Linked DNA regions of Ovis aries. The main gene of each other region encodes a partner of the protein of the gene in region 3 in a complex. Links are inferred from orthologs where the notes say so. Each region holds a gene or a part of one and is shown on either strand. Other genes may lie near its edges. The genes, in order: MAPT, NFKBIA and SFN.

Region 1 (7,505 bases), on a different chromosome or scaffold from region 3:
CCTTCCCATTTAGGTCGCCACAGAGCACTGAGTAGAGATCCCTGAGCCACACAGTGAAACTGTTAATTGATCGGTCCTGTCCGACCCTTTGCGACCCCATGGACTGTAGACTTCCGGGCTCCTCTGTCCATGGAATTCTCCAGGCAAGAATACTGGAGTGGGTTGCCATTTCCTTCTCTAGGGGATCTTCCTGACCCAGGGATCAAAACTGGATCTCCTGCATCGCAGCCAAATTCTTTACCATCCGAGCCACCAGGGAAGCTATACAGTAGGGTTCTCATTAGTTATTTTATACATAGTATGAATACTGTATATATGTCTATCCCAATCTCCCAGAGTCTGGTAAATCTTAATCAGGCCAGTGGTTACTCTTGAGTACGATCTACCTAATGAAGTAGCCTGGGCGGTGCAGGTGGCCAATGGGAGGGTGTCTGTGAGCTGGACGACCTCACAGAGATGAGAGTGTGAAGGAGGGTGGACGGCACCTGTGGTTTGTCTGGACCACCTCTGGGGACCTTGGACTGGGATGCATGGCCCTGGTGGAGGAGGCTGGTCTGGGAGCGGGAAGGGCCACGTCTTCAGGAATAAAACCAAGAGGCCAAGTCCAGAGGTGTTCCAAAGGGGGAGTCAGAGCTACAGAGGAGAGTCCTGACTAGAAACTTCTTTGTTACTGAGATTCACCACTAAGGTGGCTGAGGCTCTCTCTGCAGCCAGCCTTGGGAAGGAGTGCAAGAGGGACGGAGCAGGGGTGTGAGCGGAGAGATGCGGGCTGAGGCCCTGGGGCTGCTAGCAAAAAAAAGCAGAGGGTGGGTACCAGCAAGCCAAGCCCTCCTTCCCCAGCTTCACAAGGTCCCCCTCCGCCGGCACTGCTCCCTACCTGGCCAAGTGGCCTAGGTTCGTGACAGATCTGACTTGCTGCGAGGCTGTGAGCAACTCCAGGGCAGGGACAGCTTAAGAATGGATGAATGAACAGAGGACAGGATTCCCCTGAATGGGCATCCCGATTGGCAAGCAGTTATTGCAACTCCCTCCCACCCCAAGTCCCTGCAGTAAGTACCCTCAGCTGCCCCACTGGGGTCCTGTGATGGCGAACCCTGACTTCCTCCAGGGCAAACACTTTGGGCAGCCACCCTCAACACACAAGACCAAACCCTAGGGCTTGATTCTGCATCTGGGAACTCCATCAGTCCTCCAGGACTGATGAACACCCAGGCGTTTCAGGCAGCATAGATAGGGAGCCTCTTGGATGCCTATAAGAAAAACAAGTCTTCATCTGGGGCCCCAGCGAGGTTTTCCTGGAAAGCCACCACTGTGCAGCTAGGAGAGCGTTCTTCAAGCCACCTCGTCATGGAGCAGAGTGCACTAGGGCTGGCGGGGAGTGCGAGGAGGACCATGCGGTCCTGGGTGCAGTTTGGGTGGTGAGCAGGCTGCTCGGTCTTCTGGTCCTTGGTGGGGGAAGATCTTAAGACTGGCTGGCAGGATTTCAGGACAGCCTCTAGGGCACCACAGCCCACGTGTCCATTCAGCATGTAGGGTGTGTATCAGGCTTCCCTCCTCTGGCCTGCCTCAGCCCTACCCCGAGCTTGGCAGATTTGCTCAGAACTCCCAAATGTGATTTTTCTCTTCCTCTCCCCTCACCCTCCTTTACCTCCACTGATACTACTCCTCAGAATGTCTCTTCTCACCCCTATTCACCAACCCCACCCTTCATCTCTCCTTCTCGGCCTGCCTCACAGGTCCTCTCCTCTAGGGTTTTTCCAGAACCCTCCACTTTAGGTTGGATATCTCATTTTTGCTCAACACTCCCTCAGCCCCCTAAATAAATGGTATTTTCTAGATAGATCTTAAATATACTCTCTGTGTGTATACAGATATATCTTTGCTGCGCCTAGACCTATAGCAGGAAGCAGAAAATTCAAAATTCACTGCAGAAAATTCAAGCATACTTTCATTTATCGTGAACGTCTTAATTCAAACAATGCTGGTACAACTCTAATTAGGAGCATTCATTCATTCATTCATTAACCTGCTCACTGCCCTTCCCTGGCAGAAGTATCCAAGGATAAATGCTGGCATTTTAAATGTTTGTATGGAAACACAAAGCACTGTGAATGACAGGTGTACCTCGGGAACCAACGATTCCCACGTGTCATATACAGAGATCAATTCAGATACAAAGAATGGCTTCTTGATGAACTTGATGGCGCCAGAGATGCCATGGTTTTCTCAGCTTACCTTGGCTTTTTTGTCATCGGGTCCAGTCCCATCTTTGCCTTTACTGACCATGCGAGCTGATAAAATACAAAATGAGAATGCATGTTACACCCATTAGCACAGTGCATGAGAGCCCAAGGAAGGGAAAGTGGTTTCTCAGAAACTGTGCAATATGTCTTGTTCAGTTGGGCCAGTGGAAACCCGGCTGATTTCTTTCCCCGTGAATCTGTTAGGTGTCTCATTGTTAGTATCAACACAGCACACTGGGGTCGTTGCTTGCAACACCCTGACAAGAGGGGGCAGCAGGCTGGCCGGGGACATGCATAGGCGACACAGAGGGAACTGTTATGGGTACACGTTGGTACAGGGGCGGTCAGGGAAGGTAGACGGTGCAGGACCACCTCTCACAGGCTCTGCTGGGGTCAGCCTCCCCTGACCGGCCAACCCTGCTCCAAGGAGGGGCATTTGGAAGCCCCAGAGCTATGTACAGGGCAGGTCAGCCAGGCTCTGGCCCCTGCAGGACCCCTTGTTCATATTGTCACCCAAGGGCCAGGGGGAGTGGGCCGCTTTCCCAGAACCTGCCCTGTACTCATGGGGGCTTGGGTGACCAGTCCTAGTTGGCTCTCTGACAAGTCCAACCCACCCCTGAAGGGCCGTCTCACCACTTACATACTCTCCCAAGGGGGACTAATGCTTGCCCTTTCCCCAAATTTGCAACAAACTAGCTGCCATCAAATATCCTATAGATCGGCAGTCCCCAGACTCTTTATTTCATTGAAGATGATTTTTCCATGGACTGGGGGTGGGGAGGGGATGGTTTCAGGATGATTCAAGTACATTACATTTATTGTACACTTTAAATCTAATGCTACCACTGATCTGGCAGGAGGTATTGATCTGTAGCCTAGAGGTTGGAGACCCCTGCCATAGATAATCTCTGGATTTTAGGACCAAACCACTGACAGATTTTGTGTTTGGAAAGCCACACCCCTTGGTGAAACCAATCCGCTTGTCTTCCAGCGTAACTTCGAACTCACTCTTTCCTGCTATTGGCATGCATTATTGGAAACTGATCACAGGTTCTCATCCGTGGCTTCAATATCGTATTTCCTCTGCCCCGACGACAGTGGAAGCATCTCACTGGTTCCTGGAGACCAGATTTCTAGAGTGACCAGCACTGATGATCTAGCCCAGAGATTTTCAAACTTTGTTATGCAGCAGAACCAGTGGGAGACATTCTTGAAATACAGAATCCCGGGTTCACTCTGAGACAGTAGCCTAAGGTGGGGCCCAGGAACTTGCATTTTAGTAAGAGCCCCGGTGGACCTGATTCACATCCTTTGCCCCGATGGCCATCATCATCTATGTCACAGCAAAAGCATCTGCTAGATCTGCATTTCCCAGATTGGGGAAGTGGCTACTATGTATCCTTCTCAGAGGGTCAGAATGTACATTACAATATTAAAGGCTCTGACAAGTTCCCCACAGCAAACTCCATTTAATGTTTCACCTTCCCCTCCCTACCCAGACTAGACGATGGAACTCTTTTTTTTCCCCTGGACACATCTATCAACATGCAGTGGATCAGCATTCAATGTAAAACAACTTTTCAGGAAACACTGTTGTCATCTATCAAGTCACAGTTACGTGTCCCATATTAGTTTGGAGTTTAGGATATTTTAAAGTAGGGTTCTTTTTCGGTCTTAAATTTAAAAACACAGGTTCCTTCATCTATAACATTTCAAAGTTTTCGTGACAACATTTAACAGATGTCTGCAATTAACAGTTTAAGTAGCATCAATTTCTGGGCCCCGCGAATAATTCTAATATGCTACAGGATCTAAACATATGAATACGGCTGATATGTGGCCATGAGGCCTCCTCCGTCCTCCCCCCGACAGGACACAGAGACCCTCACCCTTGGGAACCTCCCCTCCCATCTCTTCAGCTCCTGAAAGGCTGCTGTGGTCACGCTTCCCAGGGCTCGAGACGGGGATGGGGCTGAGATCCCTCCCTGTGATCCCATCAGTGGGACTGCCCCAGCTCTGCCAAGGGAAGAAGAGGGGGTTCCTTCCATGAGGAGATTTTGTTTCTGCTCACTGTCTCTTCTGCCACAAGGCAGACAAAATAGGGTGGAGTGCTTGTTGGGCCAAAGGCTCAGCATGGGCTCTGGGTCACCTCCAAAGGGTGTGTGTGTGTGTGTGTGTGTGTGTGTGTGTGTGTGGCCTGCTGCATGTGAGGTGCTATCCATGGACACAGTTGCAGAGGACAGACGTATGTCCTCTGAGTCTCTGGGCTAGGAGGGCACACCTCAGGACCTCCTGGAAGGCGCTTGCGGGGTAGACGGAAGTGCCTTTCAAAGCAGACCTACTTGGGTCTGGCCCCATCACCTACTACTCAATGACTTTCAGCAAGATACTTCACCGCTCGCAGCCTCAGTTTTCTCCTCTGCACATCGGGCTAATTATGCCCACTTGTTGGGAGGGTCGGGAGGGTCAGGAGGGTCCTAGACAACCAATTTGAGACACATAACGAGCCCTCCGAAGTGGGAGCAGCCGCTATGCTCTTTGTGGAGTGCAGCCCACCAGCCTCCACTGGGCTGAAGAGCCTTGCAGAGAAATCAAGGGGCCAGAGGAGTGAATGGGGCAGAAAGCAGTGGGTGGGGGTCTTGGTGACATGCACTACGGCGGGCAAGCGTGAGAGGAGCACGAGCTACCAGTGCCCGAGGGACAGGAGGTGGCCGGGAGGGTGAGCAAAGGCCCCAGGGGCTGGTTGGTGGCTGTCCGCGGGGGCCTCAGAAGCGGCAGGAGCCAAGGAGGAGCCGGAAGCTGAGTGGCAGCGCCTGCAGCCTGGGTGGCACACGAGGTCGCCAGGCGGGAGCGAAGGAGCTCAAGACACAGACCTTTGAGTTGAGGCACCCGGCTGACGGGCTTCCCTGGCAGACCAGCTGCAGGCTGCTTTCCAGAAGGTTCTGGAAGATCAGTCTTTTTTGCGTCCTCGCCCTCAGAGGGGCTCCAGGGCTCTTGCTCCTCTCCAGGGGCCCCGGGAAGTGCAGTCCCTTCCAAATCGACCTCCGAGGGGGGTCTCTGCTCCTTCTGCAGGTTGGCTGTGATTTCCACGTGGAATGTGAACTCGGGGGCCCCGTCGCGCCCTTCTCCTGGGGGCCCCTCGCAGGGCCCGTCGGGCTCTGGGACCCGGGTCTCCGCAGACGCTTTAGAGAGGAAATCGACAGGAAGCGGGATGGCACCCCCGGCTGGGGACCCTGGGGTTCCAGGAGCTTCTCCAGAAACTGCCTGCGGGGAGATCTGGGAGGGCGGGGAGTCCTGGGGCGAGGACTCATCAATGTCCCGGTCTTCATCCACCTCCTTACCTCCCTGCCTCTCTTTGCTCTGTGCCCCCTTCAGAGGCAGCCCCTCCTGGGGCAGGCCTCCCCAAAGCTGGCACTCTGGCGGCTCGGAGCCATGGCGGTTGCCCTCTGCAACCTTAGGTTCTGTTCCTGAAGACTGGCATGTGGCCTCTCTGGAGCCCGCGAGCAGAATGGGGGCCCCAAGCATGTCATATGCGTGCTGGCGGGTCAGCCCTGAGGTCCCCGGCTCCACAGCCTCACCTCCATGGTGGCCCAGCTCCCCTAGGAAGCTCTCCTGGACAACCTTGGAACTCCCAGGCTCTGTCTGCTGATGTCCAGGGGAGGGGGGCTTCGGAAAGGCCAGGCCCTCCTCAGCCCGCTGCCCTGGTTTTAGTTCCCACTCCCAGTGGGGTTCCTGAGGGCCTCCTGGTGGAGGAGGCGCTTGGCAGATGGGGTGATGCTGGGAAGGGCGAGAGGTCTCCAGGACGGGAGCTTCGGGCTCTTTCTCCCCAAGAGGCAGTTCGGAGACCCCAGAAGCTTCTTGGCCATGTGCAAGCTGGACCTGAGAGCTAAGCCCATGGGCCAGAGGCCTCTCAGATGCTTCCCTCTGCTGACCCGGAACTCTCCTCTCCTCTGGGCTTGAAGAGGCAGCAGCAGTAAAAGGTTAGCAAGAGCAAGTTAAGTGTTTTAAGAGAGGGACATACATTTGAAAGAAAAAAAAGATGTTTAAACAGCATCTCAAGCCCACCTAACGAAGGAAAAGGAGCCCACCCTCTGAGCTCACCCGTGTTACTTTTCTTTGCTCAGAATGAAACGGCTCTTGGTCAATCTGCCAACAATTAGCTGGGTCACCGTGGGTGAGCACCTCCTGTCTTTGAGCCTCAGTTTTCTTATCTGTAAAGGGGGAGCTTAGACCAAGACCCCGTCTAATGCTGGTGGTAGTCCTCTGCCTATGTTGGGTCTGGCTGGGCTCCAACCATCCTGCCATATCCAGGGCTGCCTTAGGCTAACTCCACCAGCAGCAGAAACTTGTCCTCCTCTCCAGGGACTGTGAGCCTCCTGAAGACTCTGGCCTCTAGCTGGGACCTGGATGGGGTGCAGGGAGGGTCTCCTTTCCTCTCCTCTCTCTGGCCCCCCTTTTGCCCAATAAACCCACCCTGATAGATTTGGAAAACCCCAAATGCATCATAATTGGGGCTCAGTCTTTACTAACTGACCTGCCAAGAGACCTCTACGAACAGAAACACGGTTCAGGTTTGTCCAGATTGTGGATTATGAACAGCCTTCTGCACGAGGTGAGGCGACCACCGTGGCAGTTAAGGTGGTCTGCACGGCACAGACGTGGCCAGCCCTGCGGGACCACTGCTTCTCCCCTGTCACACCACCTCCCGTGTGCCAGCCCAGTGGGTGAAGGCACACTTCCCCTTTTTCTGCTTCATTCATGCCGCATTCATGTGAAGTGTTAGTCACTCAATCGTGTCTGACTTTTTGTGACCCCATGGACTGTAGCCCGCCAGTCTCCTCTGTCCATGGAATTCTCCAGACAAGAATACTGGAATGGGTAGCCATTTCCTTCTCCAAGGGATCTTCCTGACCCAGGGATCAAATCTGCATTGCAGGCAGATTCTTTACCATCTGAGCCACCAGGGAAGCCCCACATTCACATCAATCCCTTCTTAAAATATCTGTGTATTGAGGACAGGAGATTTTTTTCTGTTGGTTCTCCTAATATCCTGTATTTTTTCTAACTCCCAACTCTTCAAACATCCTACCTAGTTCCAGGACAACTTTGCAGCTCTCCTCTAAACAAACCCTGGAAGTCCAAAGGATTGAGGGTCTTGGAAGAGAAAGAGACTGGATGAGGGGAGGGGCGGGAGGTGGGAGAACACAGGGGTCGACACACATGGCTAACACATGATGGCCCCTCTGGTCCCAACTCTAGTCG
Region 2 (7,605 bases), on a different chromosome or scaffold from region 3:
AAGAAAGAAAAGAAAAGAAAGGAATTCCCTGACAGTCCAGTGATTAGGACTTCACTGCTGGGGCCCAGGTCCAATTGGAGAGGTGCTGCTGCCGCTGCTAAGTCGCATCAGTCGTGTCCGACTCTGTGCGACCCCATAGACGGCAGCCCACCAGGCTCCTCCGTCCCTGGGATTCTCTAGGCAAGAACACTGGAGTAGGTCGCCAGTGCCTTCTCCATTGGAGAGGTGGGGACAGAACTAAGATCCCACAAGCTGCCTGCCACAGCCAAAAAAAAGGCTTTAACATGACTTTAAGAGGTTTTAACATCTTTAAAATGGTCAAGATTAGCTAAGATGCTTCACAGTGAGGTAGGGACGACTCTTAAGTGTATAAAGTTCTTTCTAAACCAAGTCAGTTTTGCTGTCTTCTGCTCCATCTGTTGCTGTTTTCTGACTTCCCCAGTATGTTCTCTGTCACCCAAACTGTAATGTTTGCCGATTTAAACCCTTTAGAGCATATGACAGAGAGAAAACCTTTTGGATCACATTACCCACAACTGTCTCCCTGGTTGCAGGAAAACAAAAGGTACCTCCTTGGGAATCCCCACTAGAGGGACAGGTCATCAAAGCTCAGCACCTCCCAAAAGTTCCAAGTTCAGTTCAGTTGCTCAGTCATGTCCGACTCTTTGCAACCCCATGGACTGCAGCACTCCAGGCCTCCCTGTCCATCACCAACTCCCAGAGTTTACTCAAACTCTTGTCCATTGGGTCTGTGATGCCATCCAATCATCTCATCCTCTGCCATCCCCTTCTCCTGCCTTCAATCTTTCCCAGCATCATGGTCTTTTCAAAAGTTCCAAGGTGCCATGACAAATCACTGACTACCTAGGCCTGAATCTTACCACTAGGTGTCACACTAAACAATCAGAAATAAAGACCCCCCCAGTTGCCCAAGGCTACAGCAGCAGCAGCTGCAGAAAACCATCACAGGAGGTGCAAAGAAACATATTCCTGAAAGACTCTGGACTTATGCATAGTTTTTTTCAATGGTTATTTTCAAACCTGTAGCTGACAATTGTCTTCTAAGGTACCTTTGTAAGCGGGGCAGTCAGAGTTTGCTATTTCTGTACCTTTTAAATGTATTTTTTATATATGAAAATCCCCAGACGGGAGAACATCTACTCTCTATTTTACCTAACAATTGGAGTAGAAAATACTTTGCATATCTTTCAGATTATAGTGTATTCAGTCTCATTTTCACAAGGTGTTTTCAAAAGTGTTAATATCATGACTGGTTTTGGCTAAACAGGTTGGGATAGAAATTTGATAAACTGCCATGGAATGTCGAGGTAAATTTATCTGCATCTGTTTCTTTTTAGGAAAGTGGGAACAATAGTTCCTTACTTACAAGATTAGTTCTGAGAACTAACAATGTATAGCAGAAAGTGCTGGAGCCCTTCAAAAATTTATACCATGATATTTCTAAGAGCCGTGGTCACCCTTAAGCAAAGATACACGAGCATTCGTGATCAAGTAATGTAGTTTTTAATCTGGAGAAAAATCTAAACAGCATTAAACCCAATCTTATTATAAAAGCAGGTATCCCATAGCAAAGTCAGCTAATCTCTCCAACTAACATGCAGGTAACTAGAGGTAAAGCTGGGAACTGAGGTCTCCTAGAGCCTCCATTGCACCTCTCCTAATACTTATGTATTTGTGTATCACAGGCCTGCAGAGGACTCTATCCCTGAGAAGTTTTCATTTTAATATATGACCATTACTACCCCGACAGTTTTACTTTTTGATTTTACTTTTTTCTCCCCCTCATATTTTGTCTCTCACTCCCATTGACCCAGATTCCCTACATTCAGATACTGGGGGTAGGGGAATGGAAAGGGGAGATGAGCAACGGAGAAGGCTTGGTTAGTACATGGTCAGTTAAGCTGAAGATGATTGCAATAATCACCAGAAATCTCTGCAAAACTACAGAGGCTTCCTGGGACCTATTCTGAAGAACTCTGACCCAAGTTTCTTTATTTTGCTTGGACCAATTCTAGAAATAGATGAATGCATACCTCTCATTGACTAGGAGGTGGGGGGGGCGCAGAGAGCCTAGGTTCTATTTCTGCAGGTGAGAGGAGGGTGGTGAGCCTGGAGTGGCTACCCATATGGCAAGCATGGGTCCCATGCATGTCTCTCCCAGGCAGGAGAGCAAGGAGCCAGCAGAGGCAGGATGAAGGGCACCATGGGCTGCCTTGAGCCTCCTGCACTATGCCTGGCAGCTAATTTCTTAGCCATCCATAAGGCCTCATCTTGGATAAGGCACTACTCTACCCATTCTTCAGCCACCTTCCCCAAATGCTTCTGCAAAGTCACCCAGCAGAGGACCCAGAAGTATGCTCAGGGTCTGTTCCCTGCAGCAGCACAGTGCAGAGCAGGGAACCCGACCTCCATAATTATTTCCTTACTTCAAGGGATTTACAGCCTCTGCTACAAAGACTCATACCTTGCTTTCCTTGAAAAATACCATGGTTGTTTTCACCGTTTTCCTGCATACAGGGCAGAGTGCTTGCCTCTCCTCCAGTCAACAGGATTGATAATCCCAAGGAAATGATTTGACGGTTCCCCAGTGGCAACCCACTCCAGTGTTCTTGCCTGGAGAATCCCAGGGATGGGGCAGCCTGGTGTGCTGTTGTCTCGGGGTCACACTGAGTCGGACACAACTGAAGCGACTTAGCAGCAGCAGTAGCAGCAATCATTTAGGCTTTTAATGCCAAAAGCTTTAGAAACTTCTACCCGGGGGTCGGGCGGTGGGGGTGGGAGTGGAGAGTGGGCTGGGGCTGGCTATTCAGCCGGTGCCTACAATGCTAAGAGCCTGGTACTGGCAGGAAGGCAGAGGCAGCCACCTTCCACCGACCAGTGCGTCCTCCCCGCAGAGAGCTTTGGGGAAGTGAATCCCTACACCCGGCCAACATTTCCACTCGCGTTTTCAAAAGATTTAAAAAAAAACCGGAAAAGACCTGCAGGTCGGTAAACCCCAGTGAAGAACCAGCCTGCAGGCCTGCGTCTTTGGGATCTCAGCAGCTGACGACCCTAAATCAAATCGATCAAATCGGGAAAACCCAGGGAAAGAGAGCTTCTTGCAGAGGGCCAGGATTACTGCGTGCAGGTTGCAGGGAAGTACCCGGGGAGGGGGCCCGGTCAGGAGGACTTTCCAGCCACTCAGCGTTCATCAAAAAGTTCCCTGTACATGACCCCAGTGGCTCATCACAGGGAGTTTCTCTGATGAACTCGGGCGCGGGGTTTAGGCTTCTTTTTCCCCCTAGCAGAGGACGAGGCCAGTTCTCTTTTCTGGTCTGACTGGCTTGGAAATTCCCCGCGCCTGACCCCGCCCCGGAGAAATCCCCTGCCAGCGCTTATAGGGCGCCGCGGCGGCGCTGCCGAGCCCACAACAGTCCTAGCCCGTCGTCCCGCTCGCCCGCGACTCCGAGAGCAGCCAGAGCGCAGCGCAGCCCGCGGCCCGTGCACTGGGGAGCAGCGCCCGAGCCTTCACCGCGCCATGTTCCAGCCTGCCGAGCCCGGCCAAGATTGGGCCATGGAGGGCCCCCGGGACGCGCTCAAGAAGGAGAGGCTGCTGGACGACCGCCACGACAGCGGCCTGGACTCCATGAAGGACGAGGAGTATGAGCAGATGGTGAAGGAGCTGCGAGAGATCCGCCTCGAGCCGCAGGAGGCGCCGCGCGGCGCCGAGCCCTGGAAACAGCAGCTCACCGAGGACGGAGACTCGTAAGTGTCGCGGGCCCGGGTGGCAGGGCCGGGTGGAGGCGCTGGGCCTGCAGCCCCAGGCGCGGGGCCCGCGCAGCGGCCGCGCACCGGGGTTCGTGCACCGACCCCGAGGCTGTGCAAAGGTGCACGGCTGCCTGCGGGGCCGGGGGCCGGGGCGGGGGGGGCGGGTCGGGGGTCGGCGCTGGTTTCCGGGGCCGTGGTCCCGCGGCCCTGCGTTGCAGCCGCGCGCACCCCCCGCACGCACACCCCCGTGCGGGTCCCCTCGGCCGGAGGCGGGGCGGCGGCGGGGACGCGAAGTCCCCGCTTGCATAAGGGGGGGGCGGGAGTTTCTGCCCCGCTGGCGGGCGCCGCGCGGCCGGGAGGGGAAGTACAGGGCGTTCCGGCCGGGCGAGAGGGCGGGGCGGTCTGGCCGGCGCCCGCCGCCGAGCGCGGGGGGGGCGGGGGGCCGGAAAGTCCCTGGGCGCCTGCCAGGAACACTCAGCTCATAATAACCTCGCGGAAAACACCGCGGCCTCGGCCTCCAGAAACCCCGGCCTTGCGCAATCCCCCGCGGGCCGCGCCTCCCCGGGCCCCACGCAGTGCACTCACCAGCCCTGGGGGTTTTCCCTCTCTTCCCCTCAGGTTCCTGCACTTGGCCATCATCCATGAAGAGAAGGCCCTCACCATGGAAGTGGTCCGCCAAGTGAAGGGAGACCTGGCCTTCCTCAACTTCCAGAACAACCTGCAGCAGGTACTGCTCTCCCGCCGCGTACCTCTCTCTCCCGCTCTGACCCCGAGATAAAACCGGGTCTTGCACATGATTTCTAGATTAACAAAGGTTTGGGCATTATCTGCCCTGATTTTTTACACCTGTGTCAGCCAGTATTCTAGAACACAAAATTCCATTGATTTGGGAAGGCCTTTATGAAGCCCATCTGGGGCCTCTGGTATTTTGCTTTGCCCCTGGTATGCGCCTGGGAAAAGCAGCACCCACAACCAAGATATCTCTGGGGTTCAAGGGAACACAGATGGTGGGTTGGATCCATGGCTTATCCTTTCTGTCCCTCTTCTGTTTGTAGACGCCACTCCACTTGGCTGTGATCACTAACCAGCCAGAAATTGCTGAGGCACTTCTGGAAGCTGGCTGTGATCCTGAGCTCCGAGACTTTCGAGGAAATACCCCCCTACACCTTGCCTGTGAGCAGGGCTGCCTGGCCAGTGTGGGAGTCCTGACTCAGCCCCGGGGAACCCAGCAGCTCCACTCCATTCTGCAGGCCACCAACTACAATGGTATGTCTGGCTGTCCTGCCCATCAGAGGGCAGGTGAGGTGGACACGGGGGAGGCAGGCTGACTTAAGGAGGCCAAGCAAGGCCTAAGCTCTCAACATATGAAAGATGGAGAAAACATGTATAAAGGCCTAGTTGATGCCTTTCTAAAGTCCATTCAGAACCCAGATTCTGAGCTCTTCAAATTAAGAATGTATCCTTCAAAAGAATAGGGATATATGTATACCTATGGCTGATCCATGTTGATGTATGGCAGAAACCAATACAATATTGTAATTATCCTTCAATTGAAAATAATAAATGAAGAAAAAAAAAGAATAGGTGAAAGCTTCTGCTTGAGAAATGAGTGTTGAAACAAGTAGTTATAATACTGTCTTACTTTTGGTCTTCTAGGCCACACGTGTCTGCACTTGGCCTCTATTCATGGCTACCTGGGCATCGTGGAGCTGTTGGTGTCCTTGGGCGCTGATGTCAACGCTCAGGTCAGTGCCTCACACCTTCAAATGGGGTACATCAGGCCACCCTGGTCCTCAATACGAGGGCTTTTGCTGCAAGCAGAACTTCCAAACTCAGCCATAAGCATCTTGAATTCCTTATGGTTCCAGGAGCCCTGCAATGGCCGAACTGCCCTCCATCTGGCAGTGGACCTGCAGAATCCCGACCTGGTGTCACTCCTGTTGAAGTGTGGGGCTGATGTCAACAGAGTCACCTACCAGGGCTACTCCCCGTACCAGCTCACGTGGGGCCGCCCCAGCACCCGGATACAGCAGCAGCTGGGCCAGCTGACCCTAGAGAACCTTCAGACACTGCCAGAGAGCGAGGATGAGGAAAGCTATGACACCGAATCAGAGTTCACAGAAGATGAGGTGAGTCCCAATTAACTTGTTCATGGCTTTGCAAAAAGAAAGGAGAGAGGCCATTCTCCCTCCCCCTTCTAAGGCTCCTAGAGTTCCTCCTTATCCTGAGGGTCTCAATGTAATGAGCCTCTCAAGCTTGAGTATGTGTAAGCAGAATCCCAAGAGCATGTCTTTTTTTTTTTTTTTTTTTTGGCTCTTGTTGAAGGAGGATCCTTAAAGGAAAACTCCCTCAGCCCAGGAAATTCATTTACATTCAGTGTATAGAGAATGGGGTCCAGGAATACTTGAGTTATTTCCAGTAACAGCCCACCCCATCATCCTAGCACCCTCGGAAAAGCCCTGCGAGTTTAACATGCCTTTTTTTCTCTTTTTAGCTTCCCTACGATGACTGTGTGCTTGGAGGCCAGCGTCTGACGTTATGAGCTTCAGAAAGAAGCTAAAAGAACATGGACTTGTATATTTGTACAAAAAGAGAGTTTTATTTTTCTAAAAAAAAAAGAAAAGAAAAAAAAAAAGGGAGGGATGTACTTACAGCCACACTGCCTGGTCTGGAACATTTTACTCTGGATTAACCCTCAGTTTGTCATTTTCGTAAACTCTGGAAGAGGGGGCAAGAAAAATCACTGGAATTCAGAGAAAACCTCTTTTAAATGTCACCTTTGGTGGGGTTTCAGGGGGAAGGTTATTCAAAATTTGATGAAAGGACTCTTATTTATTATGCTTATTGGTTGAATCACCATGGGTTCTGTGGCTGCGCCAGTTGAGTGACATGTAACCATCAGGTGTGTTGTTAAACCGGTCGGGGGGGTGGAGTTAAAAGTCACTACCTGTCAAGGTGTGTGTTCCCCTCCTGTAAATAGTGCACATAGTGTATTTTGTCGGTAATTATTTTGGTACTTTTAAGATGTATATTTATTAAACAGATTTTTATGAACAGAGTTATCCTGATCATTTTCATTGGGCTGCTGTGGGTCTCCTACACTGAGAGTCATTCAGTCCCCAGGCGGAGGCGGAGGTGGAGAGCATGTGGGAGAACTCACCACAGCCACGGAACCCTCTCACAGAGCAGCTTCTCACACTGTTGACACCAGCCTCCCAGCTGGGCTTCGCAGGCAGCCCCGGCCCAGTGCGTGGGAGGGAGGCTGTTGTAAGGTGATAGGAAACAGTCTCAGGCTTGGGCCGGGCAGGCTGTTTGGCCCACAGCTGGAAGGCTCTTCATTGCCGCCTGCTTTTATCTTCTTGGTTTAAGCTATTCCGAGACCTTACTTCAGCTTTAGGAAATTATTTTAGCCAAGAGTAGTATGTGGAGTTTACATTTTCTAGAGCTGCGAAAGGTCTCCTGTATGAGAAGTTTCTGAGGATGGGGGCTTAGGAATAGGACAGTGCTAACGTATGTTAGCAGGTGCCCACCTCTGTTTCCTTGCTTACAAACTGGACCATCTGAAGATTGCACAAGGCTATCCGCGCAAAAATCATAACAGTGCCAGGCACCTTGTGCTGAAGAAAAAACGCAAGCCGTTGCACAACATCCTGTATTTCACACGGGAAGGAATAAGTCCACAGAGAATGTCCTGTTTGGGGTCACCTTTCAGGACACAGGTGGTTAACTTAGTTAATGCACTCTTGTCTTCAGTGATTAACAGCTTTTAAGCACCATCCACCTGCAAATCAGCCTATTGTACTGTTAGCTGCAGGATAAAACTGAGGAAGTCTGGGT
Region 3 (7,274 bases):
AGCCTGTCAGGCTACTCTGTCCATGGGATTCTCCAGGCAAGAATACTGGAGTGGGGTGCCATTTTCTTCTCCAGGGGATCTTCCCGACCCAGGGATTGAGGAAGCCCTTAGTTTCTTCTAAAGCGTCTGCCTACAATGCAGGAGACCCAGGTTCAATCCCTGGGTCGGGAAGATCCCCTGGAGAAGAAAATGGCACCCCACTCCAGTATTCTTGCCTGGCAAATCCCATGGACGGAGGAGCCTGGTAGGCTGCAGTCCATGGGGTCTCAAAGAGTCACACACGACTGAGCAACTGCACTTTCACTTTCTTTCACTTTAGTTTCCTCTAGTTACCTGATTGATCATTCCAAAACTGAAAAAAATTTCCGAGGAAGTTCACTCTGAAGTCTAACCAGCGTCCCTCCTGCTGCAATCAGAGCCCTGTCCTTGTTCTCAATGGAGGTAGATAGCAACTGGTTGGTGCCTTCTCTATGCCACAACCCTTCAAAGCCTGTTATTACCAGTTAGGAAGGAGTGGTTGTCTGTGGGACAAGAGGCTTTGATCCTGCGGGTAGGAAGGATGCTCTATGGGAGAGTGGGGAGGTAGCAGGCAGGATGAGGAAAGCCCCTTTGCGCTGCAGACCCCACTCCTGCCCTGCTGACTCAGGCGGCTGACAGTAGAACCCCATGCCCTGTCAGGGCCTGCTGCCTCCTGCCTGCCTGGGCTCCTGGACTTGGGAAAGGGAGGCCTGGAGGCAAAGGGAGGTGCCTGAGACAGGAACTGAGTCAGGACTGACAGGCCAGAGCGGGCAGGAGGTGTTAGGTAGCCTGGCTCCCAAATTCACCCCTGAGCTTCAGCAGGGGAGGGGAAGGAGGGACAAGGCTCCCTTTCCCATGCCCAGTGCTGTGCTGAGGACCTGGAGCTTGTGGTGTAAGCCGCCACCAGGTCTCTGGTGAGAGTGGTAGGAAGAGAAGTAAGTCTTCCTGCCTTGAGACAGAAACAGCTGCAAAATCCCTGGGTCTACCAGGCCCTGCCCTCCAGGTTTCTAATGTTTTGGAATCTCCAGCTTTCCCCCAGGACCTGGGAAAGCCCAGGCTGGATGACTAGTACCAAGGAAGGTCCTCGAGGGCCCAAGGCCTGTGGAGGCCAGAGGAATGTGTGAGCTGGAGAGGGCGGAGGTAGTGCTGAGTGAGTGCCTCTGACCATTCATCCATCGTCTCTCTGGTTGGGCAGGGTCTAGCCTTTGGTTGAGACTTGGTTTGGGGCCGGCCCTTCCTTATCTCATAGAAATCAGCTCCATATTAGTGCTTCAAGTGTGTATATTTATTATAATAAGGCTCGGTTTTCTTTTCACATGATGTTAATAGTTACCATCCATTCTGCTAAGTGCTTTCCATCAACTCATTTAATTCTCACAACAAGCCCCATTTTTATTCAGGAAAACTGAGGCTCATAGAGGCCAAGTCACTTACCCAAAGCCACAGTAGCTTGTAAGAACTGAAACCAGGCAGTCTGATTCCAAGACTGTAGGCTGTTCTGTCATAGAAAAATAATACACATTCACCACTGATAACCTGAAGATACTAGGAAAGTCAAAGGAAAACAAAAAACCCACTTAGAATCCTACTACCTAAACATACACTGTAAATTGGTATTCCAGTATGTTTCTTTTTCATTGTTTTCTGTCAGTGATGTGATTTAGGCAGAGCCTTCAGGATGGCAAGCCTAAAATCCCTTCTGCTTGCTTCCTTGGGAAACATGGCATCAGCTCAGACATGTCCCTACTTTCCCTTCAAAGAGGCAGATCTCATCTCTGGGCCTCAGAGTTCTGGCCTAAGCCTCCCTCCAGGAGGAGAGGGTGGGTGTTCAGACACCAAGAGGAACTGAGGAGGGACAGGCTTGTGAAATAGTTCTGGTTCAAGCATTAAACTGGCTGGATCCCAGAGAGAGGAGCCCCACCCCGAGCCCCATCTGAGCTTTGGCTAGAGGTAGAGTAGACAAGCAGGAACCCACCCTCCTAGGTGCAATGCCAACACCTTTGGGTGAAAATTTCAACTGACATAGAGACAGGGTCTCAGTGAACAGGGACAAAAGATTGGCAACAGAGAAGTCTCCATCTCTGAAGCTTCTGCCAGGAATCAGAAGTGGGGCCGTGGTCAGAGGGAAGGGCAGGGAAACTTCTGAGAGGCAGGCTCATTCAGCTGGGGGGAAGAGGAAGGCAGCGCTCAGCTGGGACTGCTGCCCCATAAAACGAAACGACATGCATCACAGCCGCCTCCATCGCCTTGGTCCTGTCTTTTCTCCCCAGTTGCTAGCGTTTCCCCCCCTCCTGGTACCCAGCTGGGCAGGGTACCCAGGTGGCGGGCATCCCTGCCTCTGACAGAGGGCGGGGCTGAGTTAGGCAGGAAAGTGGAACAGCCAGTGAGCTGGGTCCCCACCCTCTGTGCGCCCCACTGACACATGATGGCAGACAGGGGGGGCAGGTGACCTGGTGTGGACAGCCAGAGGGCAAGTCCTCAGACAAGTGGCAACAGGCCACCAACTTGAAAGGGAAAATTGTGCTGTGATGGGGAAGGTATCCAAAAAACCTACTGGGTGACTAATTACAAAGGCTAGGCCAGAGCGTCAGAGGCCGCTCGTTAAACACCTCATTAAGTGGCACTCTGAAAGCTGCCACTTTTGCATTCTGGGAGCTCAGAGGGGACAGGATCCTGAGGAGGAGTGAGGGGTGGTGGGTAGAACCATTTCAGGTAGACTCTGGAAGAAGCCTGCATGTCACTTTTAAATAGTCTGGAGCTCACAAGTCAAAAGACTTGATGGGAGCAAAGCCAAATTTAGTAGCTGTGTGACTGTGAGCAACTCTCATCTTTCTCTGAGCCTTAAAGCGGTCCCGCCTCTACAGTGGGAGTAGTGTCACAGACTTGCCCATTTCACACAGACAGAGCAGGTTAGATTAAGTTAGATCATGGGTATGAAGGCGCTTGGGAAGCTAGCTACCGCCCTACCTAAACAAAGAGTTATCCCTCCTGAACCAATATGGGAAACACACCTGGCAGGACTGGGAACCGCATCCTCCTGCACCTGGCTTTATGGGCTCTGCCTAGGCCCATAGCGGCCAGGTAGCTGAAGCCATCCTCAACCCGTGTAAGAACACGGTGAAGGAGGATCTGATTTCAGCAACTGGGACAGCTACCTACGGTAGGCATGTAATAGAAGCCCTGAACCAGAGCGGGCAGCCTGGGGCCTGGAAAGGTGTCGGTGCAGGTGAGGCCAACGCCCAAATCTCTCCCGCTGACAGTCCGGATGACTCACCCCCGGCCCCCGCCTCCCTACCCGCCATCCAAGCCCTTTTACCTTTAAGGAAGAGCGGAAAGGGTGTGGGGGCGAAGAGGAGAGGGAGGCAGGTCCGGGGCCCTAGCCCCGCCCTCTGCCCCTCCCACCCTTCTCTGGGCCTGGCCTTCCAGCCAAAAGGCGGGCAGAGAGCAGGAGAGGCACAGAACCCGGCCTTGGTTCCGAGGCAGCCAGTTAGCCCGCCGCCCGCCTGTCTGCCTGTCCCCAGAGCCATGGAGAGAGCCAGTCTGATCCAGAAGGCCAAGTTAGCCGAGCAGGCCGAACGCTATGAAGACATGGCAGCTTTCATGAAGAGCGCTGTGGAAAAGGGCGAGGAGCTATCCTGCGAAGAGCGCAACCTGCTTTCAGTGGCCTACAAGAACGTGGTGGGTGGCCAGCGGGCGGCGTGGAGGGTCCTGTCCAGTATCGAGCAAAAGAGCAATGAAGAAAGCTCGGAAGAGAAGGGCCCGGAGGTGCAAGAGTACCGAGAGAAGGTGGAGACGGAGCTCCGGGGCGTGTGCGACACAGTGCTGGGCTTGCTGGACACCCACCTCATCAAGGAGGCCGGTGACGCCGAAAGTCGGGTCTTCTACCTGAAAATGAAGGGCGACTACTACCGCTACCTGGCCGAAGTGGCCACTGGCGACGACAAGAAGCGCATCATCGACTCAGCCCGGTCGGCCTACCAGGAGGCCATGGACATCAGCAAGAAGGAGATGCCGCCCACCAACCCCATCCGCCTGGGCCTGGCCCTGAACTTTTCCGTCTTCCACTATGAGATCGCCAACAGCCCCGAGGAGGCCATCTCTCTGGCCAAGACCACCTTCGACGAGGCCATGGCCGACCTGCACACCCTCAGCGAGGACTCCTACAAAGACAGCACCCTCATCATGCAGCTGTTGCGAGACAACCTGACGCTGTGGACGGCCGACAACGCTGGGGAAGAAGGGGGCGAGGCTCCCGAGGAGCCCCAGAGCTGAGCCGCACCCGCTGCACGCCCTGCCCTACCCTGCCCGCTCCAGTCCCCCACTCCCGGCAGAGAGGACTTGTATGGGGTGGGAGGTCCGACCCTTCTCCCCAAACGCTCTGGCCCAGCTCAGAAAGGCTCCATAGAGAGGAACAAGCAGAGCCGAGTCCCCCTGGAGCCAGAGGATTCCATACTTCCTGCAGCTGTCAGGGGCTCCTGGCCACTGGTCATCATCCAGCCCTGCTCTGTCTCCACCCCCGCCCCCCGTCCCAGACACCCCCCCCCCCACCCTGACCACTTCCTCCCCACTCCAACCCCCTCCCGCCCCTGCTACCTATGGATCTTAGGAATTGAGGAGTGTCCCATCCTTAGAGCTGAAAACCGAACTGTGTGGCAGAGGTTGGTGATGAAGGTGTGTGTGTGCGCCTGTGTGTGTGTGTGTGTGTTGTGCAGCAACCAGGACCCAGGATGAGAGGGAGAGCATGTCTGCTGGGTGTGACCATGTTTCCTCTCAATAAAGTTGCCCTGTGACACTCCGCCTGTCTTTTTCAGTTATTGCGGAAGGGCGGGACAGGGATTGGTGTGTGAGTTACAGAGACCCTGACCTCCTTGGGGCTGGCTCAGTGACTCGCAGGCAAGACTCTGGAGCCAGGAGAGAGGCTGGGGATCCAGCCCTCTCCATCAGGGTCTGGTCTAGTCCCCTCAAACTGGTCCTATCCCGGGAGGGTCGGGTGAGCAGCGCCAAGGCGGCTTGGAGACTCCTCTGCCAGGAACGTGGGGTGGGAGGCTGAAGCGCTCAGGTGTGAGGGGACAGTCTCCGGGGTGAGGTCGGAGGGGTACGCCGCAGTGAGCGGCACTGAGCACCTCAGACCTGAAAGCGGGGAACAGTCCCATCAGATCTGAGCGGAGGGAAGTATCACCAGGGGGCGGGTATGACGCCGCCATTAAAAGCTCAGGTCTGAGGAGAAGACCGCCTTCCAATGTTCGGAGATGGGGACAAAATAAAACAGGCCGTTGACGAAGAAGTGCAACTTGAGTGCGAAGAGCCGCCAAGAGCGGGTTCGGCCGCGGCGGGCCAAACCCACCGCCCCCGCATCTCTGCTCCCAGCAGCGACGCTCCTCCGCCTTCGGCCGCCTAGTGAAGCCCTACCTTCACAGCCTGAGGCCAGAGGCGGGCCCGAGGCTGATATCATCCAATCACGGGAAGGAGCTGCTCATGGTACCGCCCCCGGGGCCAGACTGACCAATAGGAGAAGGAGCGGCGGACCGAGCTGGGAGCGTCTCCCCATCGCCCGCCGGGCCCTGCAGGCGCCGGGACACGCAGCCGGGAGAAGAGGCCCCCGCCACCCGCCGAGTGCCAGGGGCGGAGCTTTCCTGGTTTCACTCGGACGAGTTGCCACCCGCCAGACCCGAGAGCTCTACATCCTGAGAGCAGCGGGACGGGGCGGGGTAGTGCGGTAAAAGCAGTCCCCGCCCTCTGAGTCATCCGCTCTACCGGCGGTGCCTGGGCCTGGCCTGGCTGGCAGTATGGGCAGGGAAAAGGCCACCAAGGTGTCTCCATCGCACTCTAGAGCCCAAGCAGCCCTGACCTGGTGGCCAGGAGGCTTGGATGTGACCCTCACTGGCTTTGCAACCCTGTGCTATGTGCTTAGTCGCTCAGTGGTGCCCGACTTTTTGCGACCCCATGGACTGCAGCCTGCCAGGCTCCTCTCTGGCCATGCCCTCCTCCAGAGGATTTTCCCAAACCCGGGAGGTAACCCAGGTCTCCCGCATTTGCAAGCGGATTCTTTACCGACTGAGCCACCAACTTTGGAAAAGTCATTAACCCCCACCCTGGGCCTCAGTTTCTACCTTCTGTATCATAGGGGGCTTGAACTAACGGCTTTTTAGTTTGACTCCAAGCCTGCTTTGTCCAGGGTTCTTAACCATGCTTACCTTTTGTCCTTATTTGTGAAGTGAGGATTAAAAAATAGTACCTTCCTCTTAAAAGTTGCTGTGAAGTTTGAGAAAAATAAATGTATGTAAAGTAGCCCATAATACATATTTATACATGTTACCTATTATTAATCCTTCCAGCATCGGTAGTCCAGGATTTATCTAGCATTTCTGTGCCAAAAGCAGAATAATCAGGCCCAGTCCTGAGGAACAGCTTTACTGCCAAATCCAACCCTCTTGATCACTGGGTCACCCGAGAATACTGGCCTGACACAAGTGGGCAGTCCTTCACCTGATAATACTGGGGGAACTGCATCTAGCCTCATCAGGTGGAGTCCAAGTTTGGTCACACTCATGGACTAAAAGGCTCTTATCAGAATTTCTAATTCTTCACGGGACGCTGGCAGGACCACTCAGATGCTCTCTGGGTCCCTTGTCTTCTCTTTTCAGAAGGGTATTAGGTGTTAAGGTTTCAAACCGGTCAAAGACTCTGGGAAAGAGCAGGTGACTTCCCCTCAGCTTTGGAAGTGACCTGGTTTCTCTTACCAGACAGGTCTGGTGACTTTCTCTTAATGAGGTAGGTCCTGGGAAAGCAAATTCTTCTCTTTTCTCTCTGCATTTGACTTTTGCCTACTCCCTTTATGCCACCCATGGTTGGCCTCTATGGGGAAAGAAACGAGCTACTCTAAGGTAGCCTGTTGGTGTTGACAGATTTTAAAAGCAGATGCTATGGTTTGGAATATCACCAGACAGGCTAGCTGTGAGCTGCCTTAGGCACCAGCTTCTGAATTGGGTCCCAGACCTTTCTATCTAAAGCTTTCTTAAGGTTACCCAGGGTGGGGCCTCAGTGGGCATTCTGATCCTCTTTTCCTGGCCTAAATTTGACATTAAAATTTTTTCAGTTCTATATAACCCAACACTGTATATCAACTGTACTCCAATAAAATTTTTTTAAAATTTATTTTTTTCAGTCCTGCTGCTCTTGGGTATGAAATTTCTCTTAGGGTGATAAAATCTTCTTGGATTTAAATAGTGGTGATGGAGTAGGAAATGGCAACACAT

What was found.
Region 1: the proteins of SFN (region 3) and MAPT are in contact, whole or in part, in a crystal structure (PDB 4FL5), measured with the Homo sapiens proteins. The link is inferred for Ovis aries from reciprocal best matches to the Homo sapiens genes SFN and MAPT. Residues at the interface, in NP_006133.1 of Homo sapiens: Asn42, Ser45, Val46, Lys49, Arg56, Arg60, Phe119, Lys122, Arg129, Tyr130, Glu133, Gly171, Leu174, Asn175, Val178, Tyr181, Glu182, Ile183, Ile219, Leu222, Asn226, Leu229, Trp230; in NP_058519.3 of Homo sapiens: Arg528, Thr529, Pro530, Ser531, Leu532, Pro533, Thr534, Pro535.
Region 2: the proteins of SFN (region 3) and NFKBIA are in contact, whole or in part, in a crystal structure (PDB 6Y1J), measured with the Homo sapiens proteins. The link is inferred for Ovis aries from reciprocal best matches to the Homo sapiens genes SFN and NFKBIA. Residues at the interface, in NP_006133.1 of Homo sapiens: Glu14, Cys38, Asn42, Val46, Lys49, Asn50, Gly53, Gly54, Arg56, Lys122, Arg129, Tyr130, Pro167, Gly171, Leu172, Leu174, Asn175, Val178, Leu218, Leu222, Asn226; in NP_065390.1 of Homo sapiens: Gly62, Ser63, Glu64, Pro65, Trp66, Lys67, Gln68.

The regions. Positions count from the first base shown.
Region 1 is NC_056064.1:45,708,262-45,715,766, reverse strand, and holds part of MAPT (microtubule-associated protein tau), read right to left. Parts: intron 6,194-7,505; coding exon 5,117-6,193; intron 2,292-5,116; coding exon 2,236-2,291; intron 1-2,235. UniProt on the Homo sapiens protein: Promotes microtubule assembly and stability, and might be involved in the establishment and maintenance of neuronal polarity.
Region 2 is NC_056071.1:43,393,193-43,400,797, reverse strand, and holds NFKBIA (NF-kappa-B inhibitor alpha), read left to right. Parts: upstream 1-3,450; 5' UTR 3,451-3,538; coding exon 3,539-3,765; intron 3,766-4,386; coding exon 4,387-4,495; intron 4,496-4,823; coding exon 4,824-5,034; intron 5,035-5,424; coding exon 5,425-5,513; intron 5,514-5,636; coding exon 5,637-5,897; intron 5,898-6,262; coding exon 6,263-6,310; 3' UTR 6,311-6,403; downstream 6,404-7,605. UniProt on the Homo sapiens protein: Inhibits the activity of dimeric NF-kappa-B/REL complexes by trapping REL (RELA/p65 and NFKB1/p50) dimers in the cytoplasm by masking their nuclear localization signals.
Region 3 is NC_056055.1:240,065,361-240,072,634, reverse strand, and holds SFN (14-3-3 protein sigma), read left to right. Parts: upstream 1-3,485; 5' UTR 3,486-3,543; coding exon 3,544-4,290; 3' UTR 4,291-4,810; downstream 4,811-7,274. UniProt on the Homo sapiens protein: Adapter protein implicated in the regulation of a large spectrum of both general and specialized signaling pathways. Binds to a large number of partners, usually by recognition of a phosphoserine or phosphothreonine motif.